3 linked regions of the Diceros bicornis minor genome follow. The protein of the gene in region 3 interacts with the protein of the main gene of each other region in a pairwise test. Links are inferred from orthologs where the notes say so. Each region holds a gene or a part of one and is shown on either strand. Other genes may lie near its edges. The genes, in order: rab5 GDP/GTP exchange factor, RNF168 and RNF11.

Evidence for each region.
Region 1: the proteins of RNF11 (region 3) and rab5 GDP/GTP exchange factor interact in binary tests that used the Homo sapiens proteins (3 or more experiments, as listed by UniProt). The link is inferred for Diceros bicornis minor from reciprocal best matches to the Homo sapiens genes RNF11 and RABGEF1.
Region 2: the proteins of RNF11 (region 3) and RNF168 interact in binary tests that used the Homo sapiens proteins (3 or more experiments, as listed by UniProt). The link is inferred for Diceros bicornis minor from reciprocal best matches to the Homo sapiens genes RNF11 and RNF168.

Annotation. Positions count from the first base shown.
Region 1 is NC_080765.1:19,584,735-19,588,481, forward strand, and holds the start of rab5 GDP/GTP exchange factor, read right to left. Parts: upstream 2,796-3,747; 5' UTR 2,719-2,795; coding exon 2,575-2,718; intron 1-2,574. UniProt on the Homo sapiens protein: Rab effector protein acting as linker between gamma-adaptin, RAB4A or RAB5A. Involved in endocytic membrane fusion and membrane trafficking of recycling endosomes. Stimulates nucleotide exchange on RAB5A. Can act as a ubiquitin ligase.
Region 2 is NC_080754.1:27,476,414-27,480,160, forward strand, and holds the start of RNF168 (E3 ubiquitin-protein ligase RNF168), read right to left. Parts: upstream 2,522-3,747; 5' UTR 1,935-2,521; coding exon 1,634-1,934; intron 1-1,633. UniProt on the Homo sapiens protein: E3 ubiquitin-protein ligase required for accumulation of repair proteins to sites of DNA damage. Acts with UBE2N/UBC13 to amplify the RNF8-dependent histone ubiquitination.
Region 3 is NC_080752.1:13,659,342-13,663,088, reverse strand, and holds the start of RNF11 (RING finger protein 11), read right to left. Parts: upstream 2,499-3,747; 5' UTR 2,074-2,498; coding exon 1,951-2,073; intron 1-1,950. UniProt on the Homo sapiens protein: Essential component of a ubiquitin-editing protein complex, comprising also TNFAIP3, ITCH and TAX1BP1, that ensures the transient nature of inflammatory signaling pathways. Promotes the association of TNFAIP3 to RIPK1 after TNF stimulation.

The sequences.
Region 1 (3,747 bases), on a different chromosome or scaffold from region 3:
TGCTCCATCTGCAGTATTCTTGGGTCTGAGTAGCGCCGCTCCATTTACTCAGGCACCCGAGGCCAAAACCCAGGAGTCTTGCTGAACACTGTTTTCTCTCCTCCCTTTCCCCACACTCATCAATTGCCAAGTCCTTCCATCTTCCCTCTGACGGCTCTTAAATCAGGTCTCTCCACCCCAATCCTACTATCTCTGCTCTAGAGTTCAAAGCCTTCATTGTCCTCCTTCCACTTCCTGAATTTACCATTTTGGTGTCCTTGCTCACACTATCTTCTCTTTCCAAAATGCTCTTACCACGCTCCCTCTGTCCACCTAGCAAATTCGATTGCCCCATTTGGTGGTGCATGTTGTTCACTGCACAAGGGCACCTGGATCAGAGTGATCTGCTAGTCCAGCCGTGTGCCCTTTTTCTAACGCACACCAAGGCACCACATAGGTTAGCAGCATCCATGCATTCTAAAAGCTTCCATTCCAGGTTCTCTACTCAGAGAGCATTTCTGCTCTATTGTCTCTCGCCTGTCCCCAAGACAGAGTTAACTAAACACTCCCTCCATTGGACCTTCACTGTGTGCCACACTCTCTGATAGTGTCTAGCAGAATACATTGGCAATTATTTTCTTCTGTTGGCCCACCCTACTAGACCCCAAGCTTCCTGAGGCAGGGACAGCATCCTGTTCATCAATCAAGAGGCCACCCAGAGCAAGGCTCGTAGATGTTTATTGAATAATTCCAGGCATCACTCCTCATTTTCTGTGCCTTACCACTTCTCTCCTTCCTAATCTGTAGAGTGAGAAGATTAGTTCCCAGTCCAGCTAGGGTTCTGGAGGCAAGGGCAGGGCGCAAGACAGGGACTGATGGTATACATTTGCCCCAAGAAGCTCTAGGTTCTCCCTAAAATGCTCAGGACCATTTTTTTTTTTTACTATCTTTCACTGCTTGTAGTTTTGAAAGAAACAAAGCCAGTTCTGATTTTCCCACAAACTTCCTCCAGATTAACTAAAATTTTATCCCAGTGCATACTTTTCAATATTACGACATCTCTCTGGCTCCAGTGAAAAGTCTATGTATATTTATCTAGACAGTCCTTTGCCCCAACTTTCAAATCCTTTGTGAAATAAGGTAGGATACAAATAGATTAAATCAAAGTTACCCAGGGTCTAGTACAGTGCCTGGCTCACAGTAAAGACCCAAATATGGGGCCGGCCCGTGGCTTAGCAGTTAAGTGCGTGCGCTCCGCTGCTGGCGGCCCGGGGTTCAGATCCCGGGTGCGCACCGACGCACCGCTTCTCCAGCCATGCTCAGGCAGCGTCCCACATACAGCAACTAGAAGGATGTGCAGTTATGACATACAACTATCTACTGGGGCTTTGGGGGGGAAAATAAATAAATAAATAAAGTCTTTAAAAAAAAAAGACCTAAATATGCACTGAACGAATGAATGAAATAGACAGGTGTTTCCAATTCTGTGCATGTATGTACCGTTACTCGTCTGCACCCAAAGAACAGGAATGCCTTCTGCTTATTCTATAGCTCCTCTGAAACTATTCTGTGTGCATACCAAGGACTCAAATATTATTTGGGGATAATAATACTTTACATTTCTGGAGCTCTTTAAACATTTTCCAAGGATATCTCATACCAGCGCAAGTGTCTGCTCCATACTAGAGGTGAAAAGACCGAGGCAGAGAGGAAAAATGCACCGCTGTGTCTCTGATAGCAATCTTTTTCCAGCTGCAAAGAGCACTTCTAGAGTTTTGCTCATTTTCTCAAGCGTCCCATGATGTGGGGGGTATGGGCTTCCAAGCACAAGAGGACACTATCTGCTTCCCAAGAGCCTCCTCCAGCCCAGCGCTGCTCCTCTGGGCTCTGTCCACTCTCCTAGGACTCCACACACACATGCATATCCGGCACTACCTTAGTCCCTTCCTCCCAGTTTCCATCTTTAGTGCCCAGCAGTGCCCCACCTTCCCTCCTCTTTTCCCTTCTCTTGAGGGTCATTTCAGGTGTTACTATGGTAGTGTCATACACATTAAGACCAGTAGAAGCTACCGGGCATCACAGGACAGCAGCTAGTGAGAGAAAGCCATAGAGTTGTCAGATGAGTGTGGACACATCCATTAACTGGCCTGCTTCTTATCTGCGCACAGCCCCTTACTCCACTCTCTGAGCAGTTGAAGGTTGGGTTTGGGCAACCACCAAGGCCTCCTCTTGGATTTTCTAGAAGACACTATCACCTCTTGAGGCTCCAAGGTCCCCTTCCCACGGCCTACCCTCCCTCCTCTGGTTGGTAAGGGTGGAACACAGGGATTGGAATAAATCAGCCTTGCAAGCAGTGAGTACTGGAAAGAGGAGGGTGGGGGGCCAGGTGTCCCTGGGGCAGGGGAGACACACCTGGTGGGTTTTACGGAGGGATGGGAGTGGGTGGGTGGGCAGGGGAGCACAGCTGCTCCGGCGCCGCCCTCAGCCCGATCCCGGATGCCCAACCCCAGCGCTGCTCACATCCCAAGGTCAGCTGTGCCCCGCACCTGCGTCTCCCCCTGCGCCCCTTCCCACTCCCCCCACCCTTCTAGGTACCTCCTGGGGCAGCAGGGGCAGCGCGTGCCCCGCCTGCGTGGCCGTCGGGGTGGCGGGCTCCAGAAAGTCGTCTTCGGCGTCGGAGCTGGACATGGCACCGTCCGGGCGACGGCTGTCTGGCTCCCGCCCCGTGACTACCACCATCCCTCTGGCTCTGGGCAGTGGGCGCGGCTTCGGGCAGGCGGGCGGCGGCCCGGGCACTAGCGCCGAGCAGCGCCTGGCATGACGCGGCGCGGCCGACAGGCGGGCCCGGCGGGGCCGAGAGCGAGTGCGCGCAGGGCGGGGGGCGGTCGCTCCCTTAGCCGACTGGCACGCGGACCACCGCGCGGACCCCAGGGCCACCGACCTGACCCGGCCGCCTCCCGCTATTGGCCGAGCCCCCGCTTGCCCCGCCCCTGATTGGCAGGAAGCTCGCCCAGTCCTAGAGCAGGCGGCGCGTTCAGCCTGCACCTGAGTGGCCACTGGGTGCCGGGCCTGCTTGCCTGCCCTGCTCTGATTGGCTCTCTGGCCAGCGGCGCGCCCTCTCCACCCGCGAACACTCGTCCGGCGCGCAGGGCGGGGGTGCGCGGCCGCCGCCTCTAAGCTGGCCTCCTGGTTGGCTGTGAGGGTGGCTCCAGCATCGGGGTCGACACCTAGTGACTTGAGAGGAGGGAAGGCTCGCGACTTAGTCGTTCGTATGTCTCCAGGGCAACGGGTCTTGTGCCTCCTTGGGCGTGGAGGGCCAGGGAAATCGCGGGGGTGGGGGGAAGGTCACCTCAATGGAGGTGGCGGGAAGACGCCTGAGGATGTGGCGGAGGATGGCTGAGGTCACGGAGGTCGTAAGAGAGGAGTGCTGACCCTCCTTAAGCCAAAAACCCACCAGGACTGGGTTTCCAGCCCTTCCCGATTGACTCAAGTAGGAATCCGAAAACGAAAACTCAAAATAGGGGTAATTGAGTTCAATTAAGAATGACAGTGACTCTCCGCCCTGTCCGTGCCAGTTCCTCCGCTGGGTACCTGGACACACAAATGGAGACAGGCCCCATCCAAAGAAGCTCCCAGGCTGGCGAGGCGGAGTCCAGCACGATCCAACGCATCTGTCTGCAGCCTTGGTTGCTGTGTAGCTGGCTAGGGGCTGGGTCAGTGCAGGGCCTCTCCTAGGGATCAAGGTTTTAGCTCTTTAAACCATTTTTA
Region 2 (3,747 bases), on a different chromosome or scaffold from region 3:
CCCCGTGGAAAAGTTCGGCAGTTCCTCAAAAGCTAAGCAGAACCACGATATGATTCAGCAATTCCACACCTAGCTATATACACAAAAGAACTGAGAATGTACTGACAACTACTTGTACGTGAATGTTCATATCAGCACTATTCAAACAGCCAAAAGGTGAAAACAACCCAAACGTCCATCAATGGATGAAGGTGTAACAAAATATATCCATAAAATAGAATATTATTCAGCTCTTGAAAGGAATGAAGTACTGATACATGCTACAACGTGCGTGAAACTTAGAAATATTATGCTAAGTGAAAGAAACCAGACACAAAAGATCACATGTTGTATGAATAAACTTATATGAAATATCTAGAACAAGCAAATTCATAGAGACAGAAAGTAGATTAGAAATTCCAGGGGTCGGGGGAGGAGAAGAATGGGGAGTCAATGATTAATTGTTAAAGAATTTGTCTGGGGTAATGAAAAAGTTTTGGAAACAGATAATGGTGATGGTTGCACAACATCGTGAACGTAATTAATGCCCCAAATTGTAAAAACTGCAAATTTCATATGTTATATATATTTTACCACAATTTTGAAAAAAATGTAAAATATCAAAACTACCGCATTGTACACTTTTAATGGATCAATTGTATGTGAATATCTCAATAAAGGAGTTTTAATAAAAGATAACTACTGTTAAAAATATGATTATCCTGTAACTCTCCTGGTCTGAAATCAGAACTTTATAGACAGGTTACAAACAGAAGCTGACCACTGATCTGTGCAATGAGGCACCTACCATCAAAGAAGGAAATCATTTTTAAGCCCCATATAGATACTGAATCTTCAGATCCAGGGATGTTTACATTCCTGCATTAAAATCAGTGTACTTATGGAAAATAAAGTTATGCTTGAAGTTAAAAAAAATATGTAAAAATAAAAATGGCAAATTTTGTTATATATTTTTCCACACTAAAAATAATTTCAAAAAAAAAAAAAAAGGCAAGTATACCAGAGCACAGGCAACACATTCAAAGCATAGATAAGGAACACTGCACGGTTTATTGATCACACAAGTGATCAAGCTGCTGGAGCCAAGTGTTCAGTTTGGGGCATACTAAATAGCTATTGAGTCCACACTGGAGAGCTCTGAATAAAAATGACTGAACTAGATAGAACTGGCAATAGAAAGCTGTTTTAGGCTGATTGCATGCTTAAGAGAAGAATTAAATGAACGGAGCTATATAAGCAAGTTAGAGAAAGGAAATGAAAATACAAGAAATATTAACACAGGAATCCAGTAGTTTCCTTACTTTTGCTGTTGCTGTACTAGGATTACTGCTCATCTTTGAATACTTATATAACTTTTCACATGATTAAAGGCTCTACAGGGGCCATTCTTATCTTTTTCTCCTTCCACTTTTAACCCAACAAACATCAACTGAACACAGGCTGCGCAATATGACAATGAACAAATCTCGCCATTGACCTTAACCAACATTTTGGGGCCCATAAAACCCAACCCCCCGTGAAGAATCTAGACAAACACTAGTCGTGCTTTCTTTACCATTTTTTAAAATAGAGAAGTGGGTATTCACTTTTTAATGGATTTTTTTTTAGCCAATAATCAGGCTGGTTTACTCACCTATTTCCTCTGATTCTTGCCCAGAGGCTCTCCGCTTACATTCCTTTGGATAGTGCTTTTGAATTATCTCCCACAGCTCCATATTGACAAGAGACTTTCTTCGGGTATGGTACCGGGTCCACGAAGAGACCCGGCGGCGACAGAAGGGACAGCATAAACTTGCCTTTTCGACAGTCGATTGGAAGCATGGATTACAGAGCGTGTGGTTACAAGGGAGTGTTACGGGCTCAATCAGGATTTCCACACAAATCGGGCACTGGCATTCCGACAAGGAAGGGATGGCGTCTTTGGGTACAGCCATATTAAGATGCTAATAAGGCAGATTCAACATGAACGCCCGAAAAGACAAAGAAGCGTAGTTCCGGACCAACTACGCAGAAAGCAAATTAACAGTTCTGTGTTTCAATATTATGCCCAGCAGCGCGTCAGAATTCACAGATTGGGCGCAAACTCGTCTTGAGGCAAAAGGAGCTCTGCGGCCCAGGTAAACAGTACTCCCTGGAAGGCGGTGTATTTGTCCACATTTAAGGCAAAGTCGGGTAAGAAAATAAATGAACGTTTCTGTCTGGAGACGCTGGCCGCTCCGAGGTATTTACATAACGGTTGCGGCAGAGCGGACGGTGGGTTCCGGCTCTCCGCGGGTAACGCGCCAAGTTCTCCTCCTCCCTCTTACCAGGTGAGGATGCTCCCTTAGCTCCCGGCAGCCAAGCCCCAGGCCGCCGCTCCGGCAACAACGCTGCCTCCGCCCGGACGCCGGGCTCCGCTGGAGCAGCACTTCCTTTTCCCCGTTGCAGTAGGCAAAGCCCGGGAGCCCCCGCGTTCCACTTTTCCGGCGCCCTGCGCCCCTCCCCACCTCGATCAGCCGAAAAGCGTAATCGCTGCGGTGGTGCCGTAGCAACCCGACGACGTCTAGTGACGTCACAACTGCCCGCCAAAACAGCCCCTCCTACCCAGGGAACCGCTCAAGGTTTAACGTTTGGTGGGTGGGACTTCCGGTCCGGAAGAGGGCCCTGCCGGCGCGTCGCAGCTCCTAGTGCTTCAGTTTGGGCGGAGTACAATCCTCCCCTGCGCCGTCGGCTCCCAGAGGCTGTGGAAACCGCGGAGTGTTGCGAGATTGTGTCTGGAGAGAAACGTGAAACCTCAAAACAAATTGAAAAACCGTACAGTGGTTTTTTGAAATGCGTCCCTCAGTACTGCTCAAACTACCTTTCTGTTTTTGTTAATTTATAACTAAGCCTCTTAGGTCGCTTTCCAGAGTTCTTGGAAAAGCAGCTCCAAGGTTGGTCTCCGAGAAAGGGTGTGGTCAGAGACTCTGCGAACTTCCTGCCCTTTAACAGGCACTTACGCTTGCTTGTAGAGCCCAGCCCCTTTCTAAGTCTCCGGCCCAGAGATAGATTGTATTGGGTTGCCTTTCTTCCTAAGGAGTTGGGAAACAAAGTGCAGGGCTGCTTCCATCCTGGGGCTCAGCAGTTATGTGCCTCATTTGTAATGTACTACTTTACTATTATATTTCAATCTAGAACAATCAAAATTACAAAGGAAGTCAAAAAGAAAATAGTTTAACAATGTGGGGGAAGAGGGAGAATCCCCCTCTGCCCTTTCCCTTAAGGTTTCTTATGGCTGGCCAAATAATTAACAAGACAGGTTAGCAGGAGAAAATAATACCAAGTTTAATAACATGTATACATGGGAGAAAGCAGGGACACTGCCTTTCTCCACACAATAGCAGAAATTCTTAAATACCATGTTCAGCCAATGACAAAGGAGGATGTTGGGGGTGGGGGGGAGTCAATTACAGGAGATTACCACTAAAGCACAGTAAACAAGAGTAAGGTTATTATGCAGATTTAAGGCCTCACCTTCCACATTGATAAGCCTCTAGAAATGAGGCCATCCCCCCTCTTCCCAATACAGAGAGGGAGATACCTTTACAAATGGAGATTTCCCTTATAAATGTAAATGTTTTTCTGGCAACTCCTTGGAGGGCCATCCAGAGAATGTGGCCAGAGAGACATAAGATGGGCTTGTTGATGCCTTTTCTATTGTAACATCTATTTTACATTATATTACAGCCATCAGATAGAAGCTCTGTTCCAGGAAGGAGTTACTATGTC
Region 3 (3,747 bases):
AAAATTTCATACCTCTAAAAAAATTTGCTCGTGAAACTGAAATAAGCACGTTATGAGGGAAACGAAGAGTGAAATACAATTCAATTGCTTCAAAGATGTGGAAAGACATCCAGATTTAGCTTGGATTTTTTAAGACTTCCCCTGTGACAATTCTTTGTAAGAAATGGGTGTGTAAACTTACGAAACATAAGATGGAATTCAAATTCACTAATTCATTCAACATTTAAGTGCTTCTTATATTCCACAAATTGCTGGAAGCACTGGGGACAGAGACCCTGTTCTCAAGGGCTTATAGTCTTCACTTATCCCGGAGTTACTGAGTATTTACTGTGAGCCAGATGCTGGGGATACAAGAGCAAACAGGAGACACAGGGTCTCCACCTGCATGCAGCTTACACTGAGGGAGGAGGGAAATGCCCAAGGATGAGACATACATCTAACTAAACAAGGATAAACACTCAAGTGTTATATGTGCTGCTCATGGAAGCGTAGAGGGAGGGTTCGGGGGGGGGGGACACAAACAAGGAAGTGCATGGATTCAGGGGGGAGAGAGGGAAATACAGGAACTTCAGGTAGCAGGTGACACAAGAGAGCTGAGTCCTCAAAGAAGATTAGATGTTCACCTGGCTGACCTTGGGGGAAGGGCTCCAAGCAGAGGGAGCAACTGGAGCAAAGGCAGAGGGGTGTGAACAGGCTGGTGTATTTGGTAGGCCTGGAATACCGAACGTGAGAGAAGTCACGGAGGCTTCTGTATGACACAGTTAAGACTGGACTTCATTGGTATATATGAAACCCCTGAAGGGTTTTATCCAGAAAACCAGCAAAAGTGATCAGGTTTTTCTGGTGTGATGAGACACTGGTTTACACAAGAATGAGAAAAGAATAACACTAGATAATGATGTCACCACATGAAACAACAAAGGAAACTGCCTAGTTAGAAAACTAAACCTCCTTCAGGAAAAACATTAAGCCACTTAACTACCCGAGCCCTTCTGGAAAAAGTTTTTAATCAACATCATTTAAAATCGAAAAAGCAGAGGAAAAGGTTTTATATATATTACGGATTATAACATCTACGTATCTATTTTGAGGTTTCTCAAGAGGTCTTAGCTCTTTATTAATTGTGTAAACACATCTGGGGCTGCTGATTGTTGAACAAAAAGCAATGAAACTATTTAGGAGGAAGTCTGCTACATACGGAGACAAACGAGTAACAGAAGGTATTTCTCAAGTTAGGTTTAAAGGTTTCCAAAGTTCAAGATAATCAAGTTTTATTAAGTCAGCGTGATTAAAAGGTGTGTCATAGGGGTGGGGCAAAAGGAGGAGGGATTAAAAATTAATATATACATTTAAGTAAACAAGTAACTCTCGATGTCGCTGGGACTAAAATCACTTGAAGACCACTTAAAGGTCTTCTCCCAAGTAGAAGGAGAAATGAACATCTACCGGATCCAACTGACACAAACGGACAAGGGAGGAGGGGAGGAGGGAGACAGGACACGACGATCACACATGAAAATTTAAAGGGGCGGGGGGCAACCACCTATCCAGAACTCACAATCCAGCTGCCGGTGCGATAAGAAAACCATCCCCAAACCTCACAGCTTAGATTCCACGATTCAGGCATAAAGGCAGGAAAATGTCACTCCCAAACTCCACAAGCTAACCACCAGTCACTGGCCAAGGGGCTATGATCACATACTCGGATCCCAGAACTCAAGGACAGAGGGTACCATCCCCACACCATGCTCGAGGGAGAGGTGAAGGATCCCCTCTATTCTGGGAGTAGGGAGCAATCACTCCTGGATCCAGGCCTAAGGGGGTCAACGCCCCCCAGGCCAGGCCTTGCCGAGGCCAGGGGCAGTGACAGCCCCGAAGCCCCCTCAATCTGGGCTGGAGCTGTTTCTGCTCCTCGCACCCCCTCCTCCCCAAATACACACCCTCCCCTACCTGATATGGCGGCGGCGGCTCCTGATCCGGCTCCGTCCCCTCGCCAAAACTAGCCCGGTCGGACTGAGACTCGTGAAGCAGGGAGATGTCATCCGAAGTGGGGGATTTGAGGCAGTTCCCCATCTTCCGGAGCTGGGGTGTGTGATCTGGGGGAGTAAGAAAGCAGTGGCGGGGTCGTCGCACGCTTCGCGGTAAGCCGCGGTCAGCGAGGTGGGGTCGGGCGGCAGGCCGGGGCTCAGGCGGCGGCGGCGGCTCCCCCGCCCCCCGGCGCCGCCGAAGGGCCGCTCATGCCAGTCCCCGGGGGTGGGGGCTCAAGGCTGGGCCACCGGCTCCGCCGGGGTCGCGGCGGTTGCCTCCCGTGAGGCGGCGATGGGGGGCGGGGGGGGCGGGGAGACGAAGCACTTCCCCACCCCGCCCCCCCGCGGGGCGGCGGCGGCCACGGAGCTGCTGGGCCTAATCCAGGTCAGGAGGGGGGGGCGCGGCCGTCGCGGCTGCCTCAGCTGCTGCCTCAGCTGCTGCTGCCCCTGCCGACGCCGGAGCCACGGCCGCGGGCCTCATCCTACTCCGCCTCAAAGCGGCGGCGGCGCCCAGAACGAGGCCAGCTGCGGCCCTGCGTCATGCCGCCTTGCGTGCTCTGGTCCCGCCCCCGGCGCCGGGAGGCGTGGGCAGCTCCGGCCGCGCGGCCGCACCCCCCTACCCCCACCCTCTCCCAGCTGTTCCTGGGCTGCGTCAGTTTCTTTCTTTCTTTGACAGTTGACTGGGTACCTGACTCCGAAACCTCTCTCGGTCTCTCGCGCCTCCCATATACTCTTCTTCTCCACTCACCTCAGCTCTTACCTGTGCACTGTTCTGACGGGCTTCTCACTGCCTTCTGCCGGGTGATCTATTTATAAACCCATATCTGATTCTGTCGCTCCCTAGGTTAAAATGTTAATTGGCTTCCCCTTTATCCCTTCGGAATAAAGTCCAAGCTCACTAATGAACCTTCCCCTCTGTCTCCAGTCACTTCCTTATCCTCGTCCGTCACAACCAGAGAGATTCTTCCTCCAGTTGTATATCTGGGATTGTTCTGTTTCTTTCCATTCCCACCACCATAGTCCAAGCCACCATTATCTCTTGCCCACACTACTGCAACACTCTCAGCTATTCTCCCTGCATTCGCCATTGCCCCCATCCAATCCACTATTTGCACAGTTGAATTATCTTTTTAAAATGTAAATCTGATCATGTCACTCCCCTGTTTAAAACCTTAATGGCTTCCCGATACTGTTATAAGTATTCTTAAATGCTTTTCAAATCTGACTACCTCCCCAATCTCATTACCAGCATTGCCTCGTCACCTATTCTAAACTCTAGGCTGTCTAAATAAAGTACTTTCGGTTATCTAGAAAACTGTTCCCTCTGGCTGAAGCCTTTACCCATGTTGTTTCTCTGACAGAAACTCACTTCTCCCCACTCGCAGCCTTCTACTTCCCATCAGGCTAACTGTTATTCCCACTTGTCGTTCCTGGACTCAGCTTCATTTCCCCTGGGAAGGCTCTTCTAACCCTCCAGTCTGGGTTAGTCACCTCCTCTGTGCTCTCAGTCCTTGAGCTTTTCTCTGCCACAGCCTGATCAAGCTGAATCATCTGTCCCTCTTTTTGTGCAAAGCCTGGCACATTGCCTAAGGTAGAGTAGGCTCTCTTCTGGGTTGAATGAACAAACAGCTCAAGAAGCAATGTGTGCAAAGGAAGGAAACAAGAAGGATGGGAATGCTCCTAAGAGTGATTCATTCAACAAGAAGACAAGAAGTTGGTC